Linked DNA regions of Alligator mississippiensis. Each later gene encodes a partner of the first gene's protein in a complex. Links are inferred from orthologs where the notes say so. Each region holds a gene or a part of one and is shown in the gene's direction. Other genes may lie near its edges. The genes, in order: KIF13B and ADAP1.

Region 1 (8,571 bases):
CATCTTGATATGCCCTGAAATGACCGGATATCAAATATGCCAAGGTTTGTTGTCTCTAGGAAAATCTGCAGAAAATATACAAAAGAAGAATCACCAGCTTCTCTCCAGTCCCCGGCGATTACAATTCTGCAGCGAGACCGACTGAATGATCCTGCAGACTTTTCCATAGGCAGGCTCTCCAAATCTTAGCAACAATAATTGAAATCGCAGTGCGTGCAGTCGTTATTTTTCATGCACGCTGAATTCAAAACATGACGGATTCTTGTCAGTAATAAAAAGGCACAACCAGTGCTCCAAAGACGTTGCAATCTGCTGTACTTACCTGAATCTAAGACGACTTTGAATTGAAGATGACCCCCCAATCGTTAGAGTCTATGGCACTTACCCCCCATGGTGTCTGCCCCCCACCCAGCACCTTCCCCCTGCCAACTGACCCCCCTGCAGCTCTTGTGCCCCTCCTGCCACCACTTCCCCGCAGTCCTGGCTCTGGCCCCACTCGGTGCCAGGGCACAGAGCACATGGTGGCTCCAGCCCCTGCCCAGACAGGTAGCCACATTTGCAGCAGTGCCAGCTCTGGGCCTGGCCCCAGGACTGGGTTGGAGCCGGGGTCAGAGCCAGAACTGCTGCCACTGCTGTGTCCAGACCAAAGCAGGGCCAGAGGGTAAGTGGGGGTGGGAGAGAGACAAGTGGAGGCAGCAGCGGGTGGGGAGAGCAGCAGCCACAGTGGGCAGGAGTAGGTGGCTAGCAGGACCTTCCCTTCCTTCCCCAAGAGGCGGACAGGTTTGCCTGTCTCGGGAGAGAAATCATGGCTTAATGAGCTGGCCCAGCTTCCTAGGAGCCCAGAGGCCCAGAGCTGACCCTCCACATGCAGCAGGACACCCCGTGACTCACTGGGCTGCTCTGTGGGTGCAAAGACGGTGACAAGAGCCTCCTCCCAGTCCCACTGCCGTTCCAGCAGATACAAATGCAGCGCTCCACCTGCCCGCCCTCAGGAGAAATGATTGACATGTATTTCTATTAAAGGACTGACAAACAGGACTTTTTGCAGTCCGTTCCTCATTCAGGAATGGACAGGGGACAAGGGGTTGGTTTAAAAACAGGACAGTTTGGTATAAAACAGGACCAATGGCCACCCTAGGCAGAAAGCAGGGGGGTCTGCAGATGCAGCTCGGACCCCAAGCCCGAATCAGGGCTGGAGCTGGGGCTGGACTCCAAGAGGAAGGGCTTTCCCCCCATGTTTAAAAGGGAAACAAAACTCAAGTAAATACAGTAATTTTACATCTGAAATCACGAGTAGGAGTAGCAAATAACTCAATCAACTTTAGTATGTGCCCATCTTGATAATCCCATTAAATGTAATTAAAACAGACTCTAGGGGCCAGAGTTTACTCTACCTATTAGACACCAAATGGACTTGGGTGCTCAGGTGTAACCCTAATTCCATCTGGCTCAAACCCTTGGAAAACAGTTATACAGTGAATAAAGAAAGGTGGTTGGGTCCTCTTCCTTCTTGCTGCTTTTTTGTGACTGTTTTAAGGCAAAGAGGATAGAATGACAGGAGCTGCTGCATTAATGACATTTCAGGGACTTGCGCAGGGTGGAATAGGATCACACGTAATAGTGCTTAATAGTTGTGGTAGGATCTGACTGCAGACAGGCCAAGCTGGTGAAGTGTGGTGGGAACCTGAGAAAGAAAAAAGAAATTCAGAGCAGGACCCACTTTACACCAGGAGAGTCATTTTTTGCTAGTGTAAAACCTATCAGTATAGATCATTCTGCAAAATTGGGGGCCACACTGCTTATCTGAGTCCAAGCGGCAAACTGCTTCTGTCTTCAACACACTAGCTTTAACCTGAACACAGCAGGCTGGGAATGTGGTGTTCCCTTTGATCAGTAAAGACATTTTCATTTAATCTTTGTTTCTGGAAGAACTGGGGTTATTTAGCTTGAAAAAAGAGAGGACTGGGGTGGGGTCTGGTAACAGTCTTCAAATACCTGAAGAGGATGGTGGTAGACCAGTGGTTCTCAACATCGTTAAATCTGAGACGCTCGTCTTTATGCTCAGGACACCCATGGAAAATGCCAGCTCTTCGTTTTCACTTGTTTTTGACTACAGAAAAACACTAGAGCACTTCTTCTGTCGCGAAGAGCTCAGAAAGACCACGACGGGGCAGATCCTTTTAAAACAATGAATTCCTGTTTGAAACACCATGCACAAATCTAGAGCTCTTGGTTCAGAAATGATACCTTGTATTAGACCAAGTAGGAAACTGCAAAAACATTCTTTTTCTGCAATCAGGACCCATAGTAGACTCTTTTTCTGCAAGCTTTTGGGCTCAAATGTCCTTCATCAGGCTCTGGGAAAATTAAAGAGGGTAAAAAGTTCCCATATTTGAAATGCCGGCGTTTATCTCGTGAATCGTGTTTGCACCCCTAGCAGTGCTAACTTTATGTGGCATCCCATGGCACCGTTGAAAGGTTATCAAGGTAACCCGGGATACTGCTGCGCCCTGGTAGAGAATCACTGTGGATGCCATTCTCCGTGTCAGTTAAATGCCAGCTTGAAAGTTGATACCTTTTATTAGACCAACAGAAATAGCAAAAAATTATTATTTTTTAATGATATTTTTGTGTTTGGTCTACTTGGACAAGCTGCTTTTCAAGTCAGAGGTGAAGCACTATATCTTACCTGAAGACATACAGAAAACTAGAACTCTTGGTTCCAAAATGATACCTGGGAAATCACAAGAAAATTGTCCTTTTCTGCAAGCTTTCGGGATCAAAGTCCGGAGGCTTCTGTTCTCTCTGATGAAAGAGGCAACCTCCCAGTAAATCTGACCTTAAAACCAAATGCAACTCTGCGTCTCTGAGTTTTTATTGCCATCACAAGGCGGCTTTACCCATGACTTCTATGTGGGGAACATTTGATGGGGAAATGTAGGAACTTTGCAGACCTCCTTGAAAACGTCGCTCCTGGCTGCAGGTGGAGCGTTTGTGTTTGAAACAAATAAATCTTGCTAAATAATCATACAAGCAACTCTTAGTACTCTGCACTATGCATGCAACCTGCACCTCCCTACCATCCTCTCTTGAGCGATGAGGCCAGACCCTACAACTCCTGACCTCCCTCTTCTGCCAGCCCCTCCAACAACCATCTTTCCTTATCAGAACCGGGGAACAAGACCCTGTCTATCTAAGGATCTGCTGATAATGTCCCCCTCATTGTCTGAGTGCCTCCCCACCCTTCAAAATCAGAAGAAAAAAAAACATTTTCTGTCATTGTGAGAGCCTGATTAATTTACAAGGCACTCAGGAGAAATGATCTCTTTTATTAGACCAACAAGATTTTTGCAAACATTTCTTGAATTAATTGCAAGCTTTCTGGCACAAACACCCTTCCTCCGGCATGAGAGAAGAGATTGTAAAAGTTCTCCTAGGTAGAAATGGAAGTTCATAATTCATAGGGTTTCACAAATGAGTCAAAAAAGCTTGCAATTTAAGATTTTTTTTTTGCAAAAATCTTGTTGGTCTAATAAAAGAGATCATCTCGACTACGAGTCCTGAGTGCCTTTTCCTCTAGACCAATACGGCTACAACCCGGATACCCGATTCATTTATAGGCTTGATTGTCTGCTGCTGCGTTCCAGGTTTTGTGGGCTGGCACCGACGGAGGGGGGAAGAAACGGGTTCGTTTCATCCAGGATGAGGGTTCGTGTGGATGCGCTGAGCAGCCAGCGCTGCCCTCCTCCCAAAACCAAGCAGGATCCTTATCATCAGGGATCCTGGTTTTCTCTGGTTTAAAAAAAAAAAACCCTAATTTTTGGTTTAAAAAAAAAAGTAACCCCAAATCCACCTTTTTCCATGATTTTAATGAAGCACCTCTATATACACATCTCTCTATTAGTGGTGTTTTATTTAAATCCGGGGGGGGGGGGGGAAGGTGGATTTGGGGTTACTTTGTTATCAGGTCTCATCCCGGCATCCGCAGATCACCGCTCCCTGCCTCGGTGCCGACCTGCCGGGGGACTTGCCCAAGGCCATGTGGCGAGTCGGTGGCGGAGCCTGCAAGGCTGCCACGCCTGGGAAGGGGACCCTGCTCCCCTGGCCTGGGGCAACACGTCACAGGGATCCTGGTTTTCTCTGATTTAAAAAACAAAAAAATTAGTAAAAAAAAAAAAAAAATAAAGTAACCCCCAAATCCACCTTTTTTCCCCCATGATTGAAATGAAACACTGCAATATACATGTCTCTCTATCAGTGGTGTTGCATTGCAACCACGGGGAAAACAATGTGGATTGGGGGGTTCTTCTTTTTGGAGAGAAAATTGGGGATTTAAAAAAAAAAAAAATCAAGAAAAAATGTCAGGGGACTACAACTCCCACGAGGCAACGCGCCACCTCTGAAGGGAGGCACGGAACTACACCTTCCGGCATGCCACGCGCCACACGGAGCGAGGGGAGACCCGCGGGTACTACAACTCCCAGGATGCAATGCACACATACCCCTCTTAGGGGAGGGGGGTGGACTACAGCTCCCAGCAGGCCGCGCGCCCGTCATGGCGGCGCTGGGGAGTGTAGTCCCGACGGCGGGGACGGGGGTGGGACCTTTGTGGCGCTGTGGAGCGCGAAGCGCCGCCCCGCTCCTGGGCAGGACGGAAACCGAGGAGGGACACGCCGAGTTGAGCGGAGCGGGCGGCGATGGGCGACTCCAAAGTGAAGGTGGCGGTGCGCGTCCGCCCCCAAAACCGACGCGGTGAGTGTCCCCCTCCCCCCCCAGGGGTGCCTGTCAGTCTGCCCCCCCCCAGGGTGTCATTGTGCCCCCCCAGGGGTGCCTGTCTGCCCCCCCCCGCCCCCCCTGTGTCAGTCTGTCCCCCTCAGGGGTGTCATAGTGCCCCCCCAGGGGTGCCCGTGTCACTCTGCCCCCCCCAACCCCTCTGCCCCCCAAAGGAGCGTGCAGCGAAGTCACGAAACCGGGGTGTCGTCACCCCCCCTCCTTCGGTTTGAGCGCGAGCGGTCCCCGGGCTGGTTTCTTTCTGGACGCGCCTGCAAACTGGTTTCCTCCGTCGCCCAAAACCGTCCGGAGCCGGCCCTCGCGTCCGTCCTTCTGGTCACCCGGGGTTCTCCAGAGAGCGTCCCCAAGCAGGATTTGGATAGCAGTCTGTCTCTTCAACGTGGATGGCGTTTGTTTTTTAAGGTGTCTAGGGGTAGGTGGTGCGCCGCACACGTTCCAGCTGGACTTCAGAGTAGAAGTAAGTGGCGTGATTCAGTTAAATGTGAGACGTCGCCCGTGCAGGTGCACTGTCAAGCGAAAGTAGCAAGAGATGACTTGAGCTCCAGGGAAGGCAGGAGCGTCACATTTTTGCAACTGAAAATAAATGGTATTGAGTGCGTGGCATCTTTCCAGGGGCAAATGTGTGTCCATCTTTCCAGGCGCAAAAATGTGTCCATCTTTCCAGGCGCAAAAATGTGTCCATCTTTCCAGGCGCAAAAATGCGTGCCATCTTTCCAGGCGCAAATATGTGCCCGCCTTTCCAGGCGCAAAAATGCGTGCCATCTTTCCAGGGGCAAATGTGTGTCCATCTTTCCAGGTGCAAAAATGCGTGCCATCTTTCCAGGGGCAAATGTGTGTCCATCTTTCCAGGAGCAAATGTGTGTGCCATCTTTCCAGGCGCAAATATGTGGCCATCTTTCCAGGCGCAAAAATGCGTGCCATCTTTCCAGGCTCAAATATGTGCCCGCCTTTCCAGGCGCAAAAATGTGTCCATCTTTCCAGGCGCAAAAATGTGTCCATCTTTCCAGGCACAAAAATGCGTGCCATCTTTCCAGGCGCAAATATGTGCCCGCCTTTCCAGGCGCAAAAATGCGTGCCATCTTTCCAGGGGCAAATGTGTGTCCATCTTTCCAGGTGCAAAAATGCGTGCCATCTTTCCAGGGGCAAATGTGTGTCCATCTTTCCAGGGGCAAATGTGTGTGCCATCTTTCCAGGCGCAAATATGTGGCCATCTTTCCAGGCGCAAAAATGCGTGCCATCTTTCCAGGCTCAAATATGTGCCCGCCTTTCCAGGCGCAAAAATGTGTCCATCTTTCCAGGCGCAAAAATGTGTCCATCTTTCCAGGCACAAAAATGCGTGCCATCTTTCCAGGCGCAAATATGTGCCCGCCTTTCCAGGCGCAAAAATGCGTGCCATCTTTCCAGGGGCAAATGTGTGTCCATCTTTCCAGGTGCAAAAATGCGTGCCATCTTTCCAGGGGCAAATGTGTGTCCATCTTTCCAGGGGCAAATGTGTGTGCCATCTTTCCAGGCGCAAATATGTGGCCATCTTTCCAGGCGCAAAAATGCGTGCCATCTTTCCAGGCTCAAATATGTGCCCGCCTTTCCAGGCGCAAAAATGTGTCCATCTTTCCAGGCGCAAAAATGTGTCCATCTTTCCAGGCACAAAAATGCGTGCTATCTTTCCAGGTGCAAATATGCGTCTGTCTTTCCAGGCGCAAAAATGCATGCCATCTTTCCAGGGGCAAATGTGTGTGCCATCTTTCCAGGCGCAAAAAATGCGTGCTGTCTTTCCAGGTGCAAAAATGTGCCCGTCTTTCCAGGTGCAAAAATGCCTGCCACCTTTCCAGGCGCAAAACGCTGTCTTGTGTCGGTGCGTCGGTTTTAGAGGAATCGTAACAAAAGCACGCCGTTGTTTATCTTGCCGTCCTGACAGAGCAATGGCTTGATCTGTGTCAGGTTGGAAATGCATGGTAATGGGGAATCCAGGTATTCAGATGTCACGTTAATTTGGACCTTCATTCATCCGTTCAAGATAGATTAGTCCAGCACCACCTTGTTTGCTAAATGTAAGAGAAAAGCTTCTTCATCCGCTTGTGTGTCAAAGCTCCCACCTAAGGCATTGTTTGTAAGGGAAGGAATTTCCCTCGGCATCTTTGCACAATAGCAGCAGCTACGCAGCGTGCCGTGCCCTGAACTCTGGAGTTGGTTGCATTCCCACTGCGGTGATTTGCAATGAAATGTATACTAGTAACATAAACGATTTGCTTGCATATAGAAACATAATACACGTGAGTAATCTCGTTCTTATGACACAACTCATTTTAGAAACGAAGTGGCATGTGTTGCACCCTGATGACAATATTCAAAGCACAGTCGATGCTATTCACGATTATCCTTCCAAAACATGAATAGCTAGGTAGAGTGTAGTGTTTGGTCTTGATTACTAATTGCATGTACAGTAAAAGTCATAGTATAAACAGTAACAACCCGGGATCTCTGTTGAAAAGGATGTCGTGACGCATAGGTAAAGAATAGGGTGTCTTAGTTTTGGTTTGGCTTAAAATACAATTGCATCACCCAGGGCTGTAAGGCGGTAGGGGTGCTGAATGCACTGTCAAGGAGGACAGCAGTCCTGAGTGATCAGGGCTTGTGCAAGCTGCCAAAGGAAATAATTGGTGAGCTAAGTGAGTGTCCTCCTGTCAATGCTGAAACCTGCTGCTCTAAGGGATTACCTGGATCTTTTGGTTTCGTGTTTGCCTGATCTCTGCAGTCACCACCGGATAAGATGTGTTCAGCATAAGACAATATTATCTTGGTTTCTGGCTCTGGTTTCTGGACACCATTGTATCAAGAGCCAAGTGTAACCCCTAACCAACCTTTTCTTGGGCGGCTGCTGTCGTTGCACATTTATTTCAGTCCGCTCCTTGCTGGATCAGCATCTCGCGAGACTTATTTACTTGCATAAAGTTTTCATACAGTGAACAGCGTATTTAGCAGCAAAAAAAGCTGGCAGAAATGCCATATGCCACGCCATAACCTATCTTTACTTACTAGGATCTTCGTCTTGCGTAAAACCAAACAGCAGACTACACAAGGGGTGTTTTAGCTAGCTTTTGGTCATTCATTCTTGTATGTGGGCAAACCCCCATCACATGACATCTTCAGTTTGAGTTGTGTTTCCAGTGAGATCTTGCAGTCCTGCGCGCTTCTGGGGGAGCACGCTCAGACATATTACACCATCTTCAAACTGAGAAGGTGATGAATTGTGCTCGCCTAGTTATATAACAGGAAAACTTGAAAGAAGTTTGCCTGGACTTAAAACAAGGATTGCTGGCAGGCTGAAAAGACATGCAGACTTCAACTGAAGTTTGTTTAAAATATGGGTATTATAAGTAATGCCCCAGCACTGCCATAGCTCTGTAATTAGGAGAGGTTTCCCGCCCTCCTTAAGTTTAGTTACCATACCGAATGATATCAGGTGTAGGTATCACCGGTTGGTGCATGTGTACACACTTTCATGGACATGCAAGCTTGGGGTTTTCTATATAGCAAAGAGCAGAGAGAAATGGCCGAAGAGTCACTTTTTTGTTGTTTTAAAGTTGGCAGGGGGACTTGACACGTAGAGTTGCAGAAAGTATTTCCAATTCGTTAAGAAGGCTAGTTCTTTAAGCCGATAAACTTTTTCAAAAATGTCCTTTATTTTGCTTATAAATAAGCCTCTCTCTCCTCTCTCTTTCTCTCTCTCACTCTGCATATACATAATTTTTAAAATTAACTTCCCACTGCCTGTGCATTTTT
Region 2 (9,022 bases), on another chromosome or scaffold:
TTTCCCTCTGTCACTTCACTGGGCCTAATTCTGCCCTCACTTTCATCCGTGTTGATGAGGAATAACCTGAAGTGAGTGAAATAACCTTCGTGTGAATGAGATGAGAATCAGGCTTATTACCCTACAAGTGTTTCCTGCTGTGAGCTAGAGCAAAATGAGACCCAATGGAGACCAGACTCTTTGCTGGTATAAACCAATACAGCTCCTTTTAAGTGAACGGCAATTGAAATGGAGCTGTGCCAGTTTGTACCAGCCAAGAGACTGGCCCCCAGTGTGGTATTTCATATCACCCACCCCCAGCTCTGTATGGTAAGTACCCGGGATCCACACACCGATGACATGCTTTCATAGCATGTACGACATGGAGCAGATGAATACAGATATATAACCCCTTCCCCGCCCTCCCTTCCAGTCCTTCACCTTTGTATCCCCCTTCTCCAGGGCATTTCAGGGACACGATACAGGCTAAGAGATAAATCAAGGAAAACTCGCACCTCCCCAGCCTGAGTCTGAGCTGGTATTGTGGGCTGTAGAGGTAGAGGGCTAGCAGCAGCAGAGGAAATAGTGCTTTCTTTCTCTTGGGCTGGGCTAATTCATTTAAAGAGCCTGCTGAGTGTGTGGTAGAGGGACTGTGAAAAGCAGCAGCAGCCATAACTTTCCTTCTGGTGACTTCTCCTTGACTATTTAGTAGGAGTCACCGACCTGAGATCCAGACCTCCAAAGCCATGTGAGGGGGAAGCAGCCAGTTTCAAGCACCGGTGGAGTTTATTGCAGCAGACTGAGGACATGGGCAATGCACTTAGGGGTTATTGACTCCATTCTACAGAGGGGAAAACTGAGGCAAAGATGTGAAGCGGCTTGCTCTAGGTTATAGAGGGGGGTCAGGATAGGAGTTCCTGGCCCCTTGTCTTGCAAGTTCACCAGAACGCAGCCTTCTCAAATGTCTGCTCTGTCTATGGCCATAAATAGAAAACCTCAATACACAAGTATATCTTCAAGAGCAAAACCTCCAGGGCTGAGTTTATTTTTGACAGGAAAACCATAGTGTGACTACTATTGATTCACTTAGAAACTGGAGGCGCTGCTTCCCCCCATGTGCTGATAAGTAAAGCTGCAGTCATGAGGGCTGGGCTGCCTCTTGTGTATTGTTCAGGAAAGTGAAGGTGCCCTATTTGCTTTATATAATGCTCCAGTACACAGTTACCGTTGGCATGAATGATTGATCTTCCTGTTGGGGATTGGCTGCGCGTAGAAATATTCACCACTTCCTTGTGTGAGTGCGCTCTAAGGTACTAGTGTTTGAATTGGTTAGTACCTCTTTTATTTGCATACTAGTGGCATTGATTTAATCATTCAGCTTTTGGAGTCTAAGAGTTTCAGTTAGTTTCTCTGAATTACTGGTATCAAATATCAGCATATTATAGCTAGTGCTTCCTCTTGGTTTCTGTTCCGTTCATCACAGGTTCGGCCTTTAGGAAACCTTAATTTTGCATGTTGTGCTTTGCCTGGTTCCCAATAGCTAATACACTTTTCAATGTTGTAAAACAACTGCTCCTTGGCTCTTGCCAGTTGCAGTCTTGGAAGGGATTTTTATAGCCGAGTGAAAGGCCAAAAATAGAAATTTTTAGATGAAAATGCTGACGCGGTCATAATTAACTGCCTAACAGTGTAAACGGACCCTCCATGGTAAAACGAAGGCAAAGAGAAAGGAACCAAAGAGAGGAAAGAGCTGATGCCAAGCGGGGAAAAGTAGCTGACGTCCTGGTAGCTTTGACCAAGCATATTCAAAATGTCACCAGAAAGACAGAGAGTTTCCTATGAAACCTCCATAGTTTCTTGCCTGAAGCATAACTCTTGTCACACCAGGCAGCATTTCCACAGGCCCCGGATACTGCTAGTCGTGTCCCTTTCTAAGGCCACTGTTTTGTGATTCAGAAAATATTCACTGGGCTAAACGTGTTTAACATCATGTAATGAAGTCCAACCGAACATGCCACTCAGCAGCGCGGAGAAAGCATTTGTCTGATAACACAGCAGAGATGATGACTCTGTCTCCAGTGCAGCTGAGGGCGGATGCGAGGGATCGCCAGTGACTTCCCTAGGACCACAAATGAGCCCCTAGCTGGTCATGCCCCAATGTTTGCTGAAAGGCTCCTACCAACTCCAGTGGGCATTGGCCATATAAAACCAAAGCCTGATCTGGACTCCCTGACCCATAAGGGGTCCTATCATTGTGGCACAGGTGGGTAGGTGACCGGGCCCTGGCTGTGATGGACTTTGCCAGGTGGAACTCGCTGCCTCTCAGCTCATTCCTTCCCACCCCTCCACGATGCACAAACATGTATCATTGTTTCTGCTCTTATTTATGTCGGTACAAATCAGGAATAACTCCGCGTAGCAGCCCAAGGCCAGACTCGAAGCTGGTGGTGGGTAGCATGCTCTCGCCGGCTGTTCTGGAGCCATGCCGGGTGGCAGTAGCTGAGGCCAATAGACGTTGTTAACCTAGAATCTGTAAAGTGTGTTAAATCAAGAGTCCATTCATACAGCCACATGATGTAAATGAGGTCAGACCCCACCTTATTTTATCCCAGTCGTTTTCTGTAGACAATATTTCTGTCTTCCAAACGGTGCCAGCTTTGGTCCCCATGGTTATAACTTTTCCACCTCCCACTCTTTTCCTACATTGGGCCCCTCTTTTCACAGGCACTGTTTGTTCTTCTCATTTGAAGTTTGGATTGCAATTTTTACAGTAAAGTTTTTATTGGCGGGGGACGTGCTACAAATTCTAAGCTATTATTTGATTAAATGATGATGGTTTCTGCTGACAGATCTGTCCTGGTCCCTGTCCCCACCCCCACTCTCCTTTCTGAGCAGCTCTCTTCTGCTACAGCCCCTGTACTATTTGATTTTATTACAAGATATAAATTTCTCTCTGCAACTCTGGCTTACAATGTGCAAAGGGGAAACAGGGATTGCCTAGCAACCACGAGAACAAAAAATTAAGAGAATCAATAAGCCTTGATGGAAAGCCAAACAGGGACTTTAAAACAAAATCTCTCTCTCTCTCTTTTTTATCCTCTTATAAGAACTTAATGACTTGCTATCTCAGGTGTAGTGGGGAGAGTTGAGTGTTCATGCAACAGATGTTGCTGAGGGCAGGCTGGGCCAGGGGACTGGGTCTCCAGGTGAAAAAGTAACATCCCAACTTAGATTTCATATAAGGGTCTTATCCTGCAAATGCTGGTGTCTGTATTAGCCTTGCATTGACTGATGCCGCTAATCGTGTTCAAGTGTTCCCAGGATTGAAGCTAAGATGCTGCTTTGGAGCCAGTTTTGCTCTTCGATTTGTTGGTGTAAGTCCAGGATAACGCTGCTGAAGGCAGTAGGTTTATTTTACATTTGCATCAGTGTAAATGGAAAGAGATTTGACTGGGCACAAGCCAGCTGTTTGGAGTACCAGCTGGGGCCCTGGTATTGCAGCTGGTCTAGTTCAAGTCAAAAGCAGTAGGATTACCTATGGAAGTAAGAGCTATAGACTTTGCTTAGTATGATGGCCAGGTGTTTAGAGATCGTCGGCCCATAAATGGAAAAAGCAAGTTATGGTGATGTACAGAGCCTCACCCAGGATCACTTTAATGTACTGATTCCCAAAGGGAGTGCTGCAAAAAAATGGACCAGATAGGGCCCAATCCAGGCTGGCCCCACTTGGCAGGATCAGGCCCATGGACCAATTTTAATCCAGAAAAAAAGCGATCCCCGGGCATCAAAGGGCTGGGAAACACTGCTTTAATGTCATTGAATCAGAGAAAAATAGAGCTGGAAGAGCCCTAGAAGGTCATCTAGTCCAACCCCTGCTCAAGGCTGCATCATTCCTGTCTAAACTATATCAAAGCATCAGAAATTAGCTCATTATACCCTGTGTATGTCATTACAACTGGCAAGATAATTATGTAAATTATCTTCTAGTTTAGGGGTTATTTTAGACCTGTTAAGCCTGACCATGAATGCACTCATGCTGGTGTGTAACATTCCTCACCTGGGTAGCTCTACTTGGGCACTATTTGCATAAGAAAGCTATGTGCATGGGCCTGCTTCTGGGATCAGGGTCACGACTTGGATGGAGAGATGGTTTTCTGTTGGATTATTTGAATCCTGGTTCTGAAAAACCTTTCACACGTGCCTAATTTTAGCTTGAAGTCAGTGGGACTCCTTCCCACACTGTCTTGCCATTTTTAAGGACTGAGGCCCATCTCTATGTCTTTGCAGGGTGAGATTCAATCTTGGGGGCATGGACAGGGGGTACGAGGGATGCCTGAACAAAGTGCCAATTTTAGGCACCTTCACAAAACCAGACAAAGCCCTGGCAGCTCAGGATAAAGCTGCACGGACTAAAACCTGCCCTGGGATGGGAACTTCCTAGGCTAGGCCTGATCTAGGTATAAGTGGGCACGTCTGCACATTCATTAATGCGCCGTGTATCGTGCATTGTGTTAGTACCTGTAATAACTTAATGCACCGTAATCAGTGCTACTGCACATAACCGCAAATGAACGCTTTTTGTGTGATGCTTAATGCTCGTTGGACTGATTAGTGCACATTAGCATGCTTTTTGCATGATGCGCTAATACACGTTAAAATGAGTCCAATGGGCATCGTCTCGTATACATTTAATTGATTCATAGACATCAGGGCTGGAAGGGACCTCGGGAGATCATTGAGTGAGGAGTAGGGGCAAGAAGTCAGCTGGGGTCAAGGGATCCTAGCAAGATAAGCATCCAAATGTCTCTTAAAGGAGTCCAGAGTAGGTGCTTGCACCACACCTCTGGCGGCAGTCTGTCCCAGGCCTTGGGGGCTCGGGCAGTAAAGAACTTCTTCCATATGTCCAGCCTGAAGCGGTCTTGGAGGAGTTTGTGACCATTGGACCTTGTCATCCCTTGGGGCGCTCTGGTGACCAGGCGTGCCCCCGGATCGTGATGTAACGTGCTGAGTAACACTTGGAGACGTTAGGGCACTCTCCTAGGATTCAGCACTTGGGTCTCACTCTGGTTTGCCCCCGTGTCCCTGGACAAGCCCTTTGTGCCTCCTCTGCCAACAGCCCGGCACGAGACACCCCGAGGTGCCACCTAACATTTAGAAGAGGGAGGTGCATTTTCCTTCTTCTCCTGCGGTTCAAAATACACCAGAAGCACTGCACGAAACACCCCCCGAGCTCCCTTACTTCCCTGGCAGGGTCAGGACCTGGGGCAGCCCGACGCGGAGCCGCGAGAAGGCGGCAGGCGGGGGCGAGGCGGCCGGTGTCACCGGCTGGGTGGAGCAGGGCCGGGAGGAGGGACGGGGCGGCGCTGGGAGCCGGCTGCAGGCTGCGGCTCGGCCACGGGGCGGCGGGGCCGGGGACTGCGGAGCCCCCGGGGCCCCCCTGGGCGGCACCTGGCGCGGGGCAGCCGGGGACACCTGCGGCGGCGCCTCTGCACCAGCAGCCCCCGCCCAGCCCCGCGCACGGCGGCGGCGGAGGAGGAGGAGAAGCGCAGCCCAGCCCAGCCCAGCCGAGCCCATGGCGAAGGAGCGGAGCAAGAAGGCGCTGCGCGAGCTGGTGCAGCGAGCGGGCAACCAGCTGTGCGCCGACTGCGGCGCCCCGGGTGAGTGCGCGCATCCCGCCCCGCACCTGCTGCAGTGCGGAGGGGCCGGGCCGGGCCCTGCTGCTGATGCGGGAGGCACCAGGGGGGTGCTGGTGCCTTGCCTCGGGACCCTGCAGGGAGGGCAGCCCCCGACTGCTGGACCGCCCGAAAGGGCCTAGAAGTGCCTGCGCAGCATCGCCCAAAGGTGCCTGGCGGGTGATGCCGATGGCTACCCGGCACGTGTGGTGTGGCTGGGCGCTGTCCCCGTCTCCCGGCTCCACCAGCTTGAGGCACCTCCTTGTGCGGCGATGGGAGCCTTCCCGAAGCCGCTCCTGCCCGAGGGGGGATCGATGGGCTCCGGCGGTCCGGATCCGTGGTGTCGGAGTCGCACAAAGCCCACCCGAGGAGACCGGGAGCACCGGAGAGCGAGGAATGAGACTCGTGTTGAGGGCTTCTTGTCGTGCTCCCAAGTGCTGGGGTTGGGGTCTGGGTGGCGCGGGCGTGCAGGGCTCTGGGACGAGCAGAGTGGACAAGGGGCCGCTGTCTCGCAACGCAAGGCAAGGCAAGGCGTGCTGCCGTTGTGATTCAGCGCTGGTTCTCTGCGGCTCAGCGTAACCCCAGCCGTGCTGTGCTGTGCTTGGGTCCTACCCCTGCTCTTAACCCCACTTTCTCACTGCTATAGCTTTTTGTGACCAATTCTTGTTAGTTCGGTCTCTGATTTTTATTGTGGGCAAGCTCAGTAGCTGTCTTGTAAGATGCACCTCTGTCTGGGACTCTGAAACAGTCTGCACCTGCCTGTGCCTATTTCCAGGGGTGACTTCTCTGTCTGCTCTTCAGCTATGTTATAACATGCGTGTCCGTTGCATGTAACGTGTGGAAACCAAATTCACACTGGGGCACATGGGAGCAGGGACTATTTCAGTGTTTCTCTCTAACCCTAAAAGTAGATGGTGGGGGGAAAAAAGCGGGTACAGGGGGTGGTGGGAACACCTTGATATGCATCACCCTGGCCTACTTGTTCCTTGGCTCTAGCGCAACCGCAGAGTAGCCACCAGTGCAGCCGGCCATGGGAGTGGCTCGTGTTTGTGGGGCTGCAGATTGAGGGCCTACCTCTGTATCTCCTGTGGGACTTGATTCATGTCTGAGCCGACATGCGCTCCGCTGAGGGCTCTGTGGATCTAACGTTTCTCTTAGCAAGGGCACGGGGCAGGTGGAGATGGAAAGCGAGCTGAAAGAGTTTACTCGAAAAAATGCAAGTAAAAAGATGAGGAGCGGCAAAGGAGAGAACAGAAAGGGGAAGAAGGAATATACAGACAATGAGAGCAGTGATGGAGCAGCCACGTGGCCCCGGGTGGCAGAGGAGTGGGCAGTCCACTGTCATCCCGAGCAGTCAGAGATGGGTGAGGGGGAGTGTGAGCGCGTGTGCATCTGCTTGGCTCTCAAAGACAAGGGGTGATGCATGAGTCAGTGAGCATCTGCGGAGAGGAGCCTTTGCTGAAGGGATTCTCATAATGGAGGCAACAGTAGAAGCAGGCAGAGAAAAAGCCACTGTTTTCAAAGCCCTTTCATTTGGTTTGCTTAGAAAGCAGCTGATTCATTTGTCTTCAGAGTCAAATGGTTTGCTTTAACATTTGGGCATTGTTGAGCATTGGAATCGGTTGCCAATTTAGGGGCAAAAACTTCTCTCCCCTGTTGTTGTTACTGTGTTTGCACTGAGGTAGGGCACCCCGGCCCCGTGCCATATCCACGCGGCATTGTGCTGGGTGCTCTGCACAAAAAGGTGGTGTCACGAGCAGCTTATCTTGAATCTCTCCTTGTGACTGGGCTGTGACAATGCAAGAACAGCCTCCCAAATGGTAAATGAGCTTAAAGCCTCAGAGGGAGGAGAGGAGATCCATTCTCCTCGGGCTACAGTGGCAATTTGCTCCTTCTGGACCACATGGCAGGGGAAGTAGCATCCTGCTAACCCACACGACAGGAGCCAAACACAGAGAGAAGAAGAGAGTCAAAGACTGGGGGGGGGGGAAATGAATGTGTGAAATCTTTCACTGACACTTTTTTGCTGAACAGTTTTGAAAAGATCTTTAGTAAAAACCTAATTGTGCTTTTTTTCCCACCCAAAAAAGCTTTCATTTGCAGAAAAAGGCCATATTTTGATGACAAATGTTTTAATTCCCCAAATTCCACGCAGCTTTACAAAACAATGAACCTGCATTATCCTAATCTTTGAGACTTAATTACAGCAGAAAAAAGCCACTAAAATAAGACTATTACTTGAAACAGTAGGCATCCCAGCAAACACTGTTCACATCTCTTTGTTGCATTGTGTGTCACACCTGGTAGGAAACGGGGAGGAGGAGCAAGTCCGTTTCAATAGACTTGAAGGTGTTTTTCAGCACGGGAGACAGCTTCCCGGTCCAACTGCAAGCGCAGTAACCTCTTGATTTTTCTATTCCCCCCCCACCTTATTTCATTCGTACGTGATGTGCGCCTGTGTATCTGCTGGTTCAAACTTCTCTGACATGGATTTACGCAGGAAAAAACAAAAATTGGAAGAAAAAAGTGCCAATACCTTCTGAGAGGCACTGTAGTTTACAGCAGATCTAGTAGCATCAAAACCATCTGCTTTATAAAACCAGTGCATCTTTATCCCTTTGATCAGAATTGTTAGTACACGGCGATAAACCAGAGCTATCGGTTCAGTGGGAGAAGGTAATTTCCACCTATAGGTGTATACATTTCATCTAATCCTTATAGGATATGTGACTGTGAGAAGGAAAAAGAGCAGCAAGGCGAGAAACATTAGCAGAAGGGGGAATCATTACGGAGCTTGATCCTGTGGGGTACTGAGCTGAATTCCCCCTGGAGCTGAGAGTACTGAGCTCATAACCGACTGTGGTTTGGGAAGAGAGCTCATGCCAGAAACCACTTGCAACTTGTCTCCCGCAGACACTGGGACCATGGCATCTTCCTCGACTTGTAATATGCACATGGCTGGATAAGGAGCTTGTGAGCACAGGATGAGAGGGGAAGAATACCTGTTCCTATGGTTTCAGAGTTGCATAGATGTTGGGGTCGGAAGGGACCGATTAGATCATCGAGTCTGACCCCCTCCTGGGCAGGTTTTCTGCTTCCTGCTATATTCTGCAGCCAGAAAGGGTTTTGGAAATGTGAGCTTGCTTAAACTTGCAAGATGCCCCATGGTTGCACATCTGCTGCTGTCAGGGGCTACAAATGGGCATCAACCTTGAAGCGACATCAGCTGTGCTGGGATGTGCACAGCTTAGCTGCTTCATTGGGCAACACAGCGGTGCCAGTTGTCCGCAGTCAGGGTGCAGCAGGTGGTGCATACGCACAGAGGGAGCTCCCAGGGTCTGTATCTACAAGTAGAGAAACTAGGGCAGGTG

What was found.
Region 2: the proteins of KIF13B (region 1) and ADAP1 are in contact, whole or in part, in a crystal structure (PDB 3MDB), measured with the Homo sapiens proteins. The link is inferred for Alligator mississippiensis from reciprocal best matches to the Homo sapiens genes KIF13B and ADAP1. Residues at the interface, in NP_056069.2 of Homo sapiens: Val451, Asn452, Leu453, Asn454, Ala455, Asp456, Pro457, Leu463, Arg512, Phe514, Asn516, Gly517, Arg531, Leu533, Asn536, Asn537, Phe539; in NP_006860.2 of Homo sapiens: Trp137, Asn143, Gly144, Gln145, Phe146, Leu147, Pro186, Ala187, Lys188, Ile189, Gly190, His191, Pro192, His193, Tyr211, Glu213.

What each region holds. Positions count from the first base shown.
Region 1 is NC_081824.1:6,375,077-6,383,647, reverse strand, and holds the start of KIF13B (kinesin-like protein KIF13B), read left to right. Parts: upstream 1-4,644; 5' UTR 4,645-4,697; coding exon 4,698-4,752; intron 4,753-8,571. UniProt on the Homo sapiens protein: Involved in reorganization of the cortical cytoskeleton. Regulates axon formation by promoting the formation of extra axons. May be functionally important for the intracellular trafficking of MAGUKs and associated protein complexes.
Region 2 is NC_081836.1:49,651,471-49,660,492, reverse strand, and holds the start of ADAP1 (arf-GAP with dual PH domain-containing protein 1), read left to right. Parts: upstream 1-5,389; 5' UTR 5,390-5,551; coding exon 5,552-5,636; intron 5,637-9,022. UniProt on the Homo sapiens protein: GTPase-activating protein for the ADP ribosylation factor family. Binds phosphatidylinositol 3,4,5-trisphosphate (PtdInsP3) and inositol 1,3,4,5-tetrakisphosphate (InsP4). Regulates the incorporation of CD63 and CD9 into multivesicular bodies.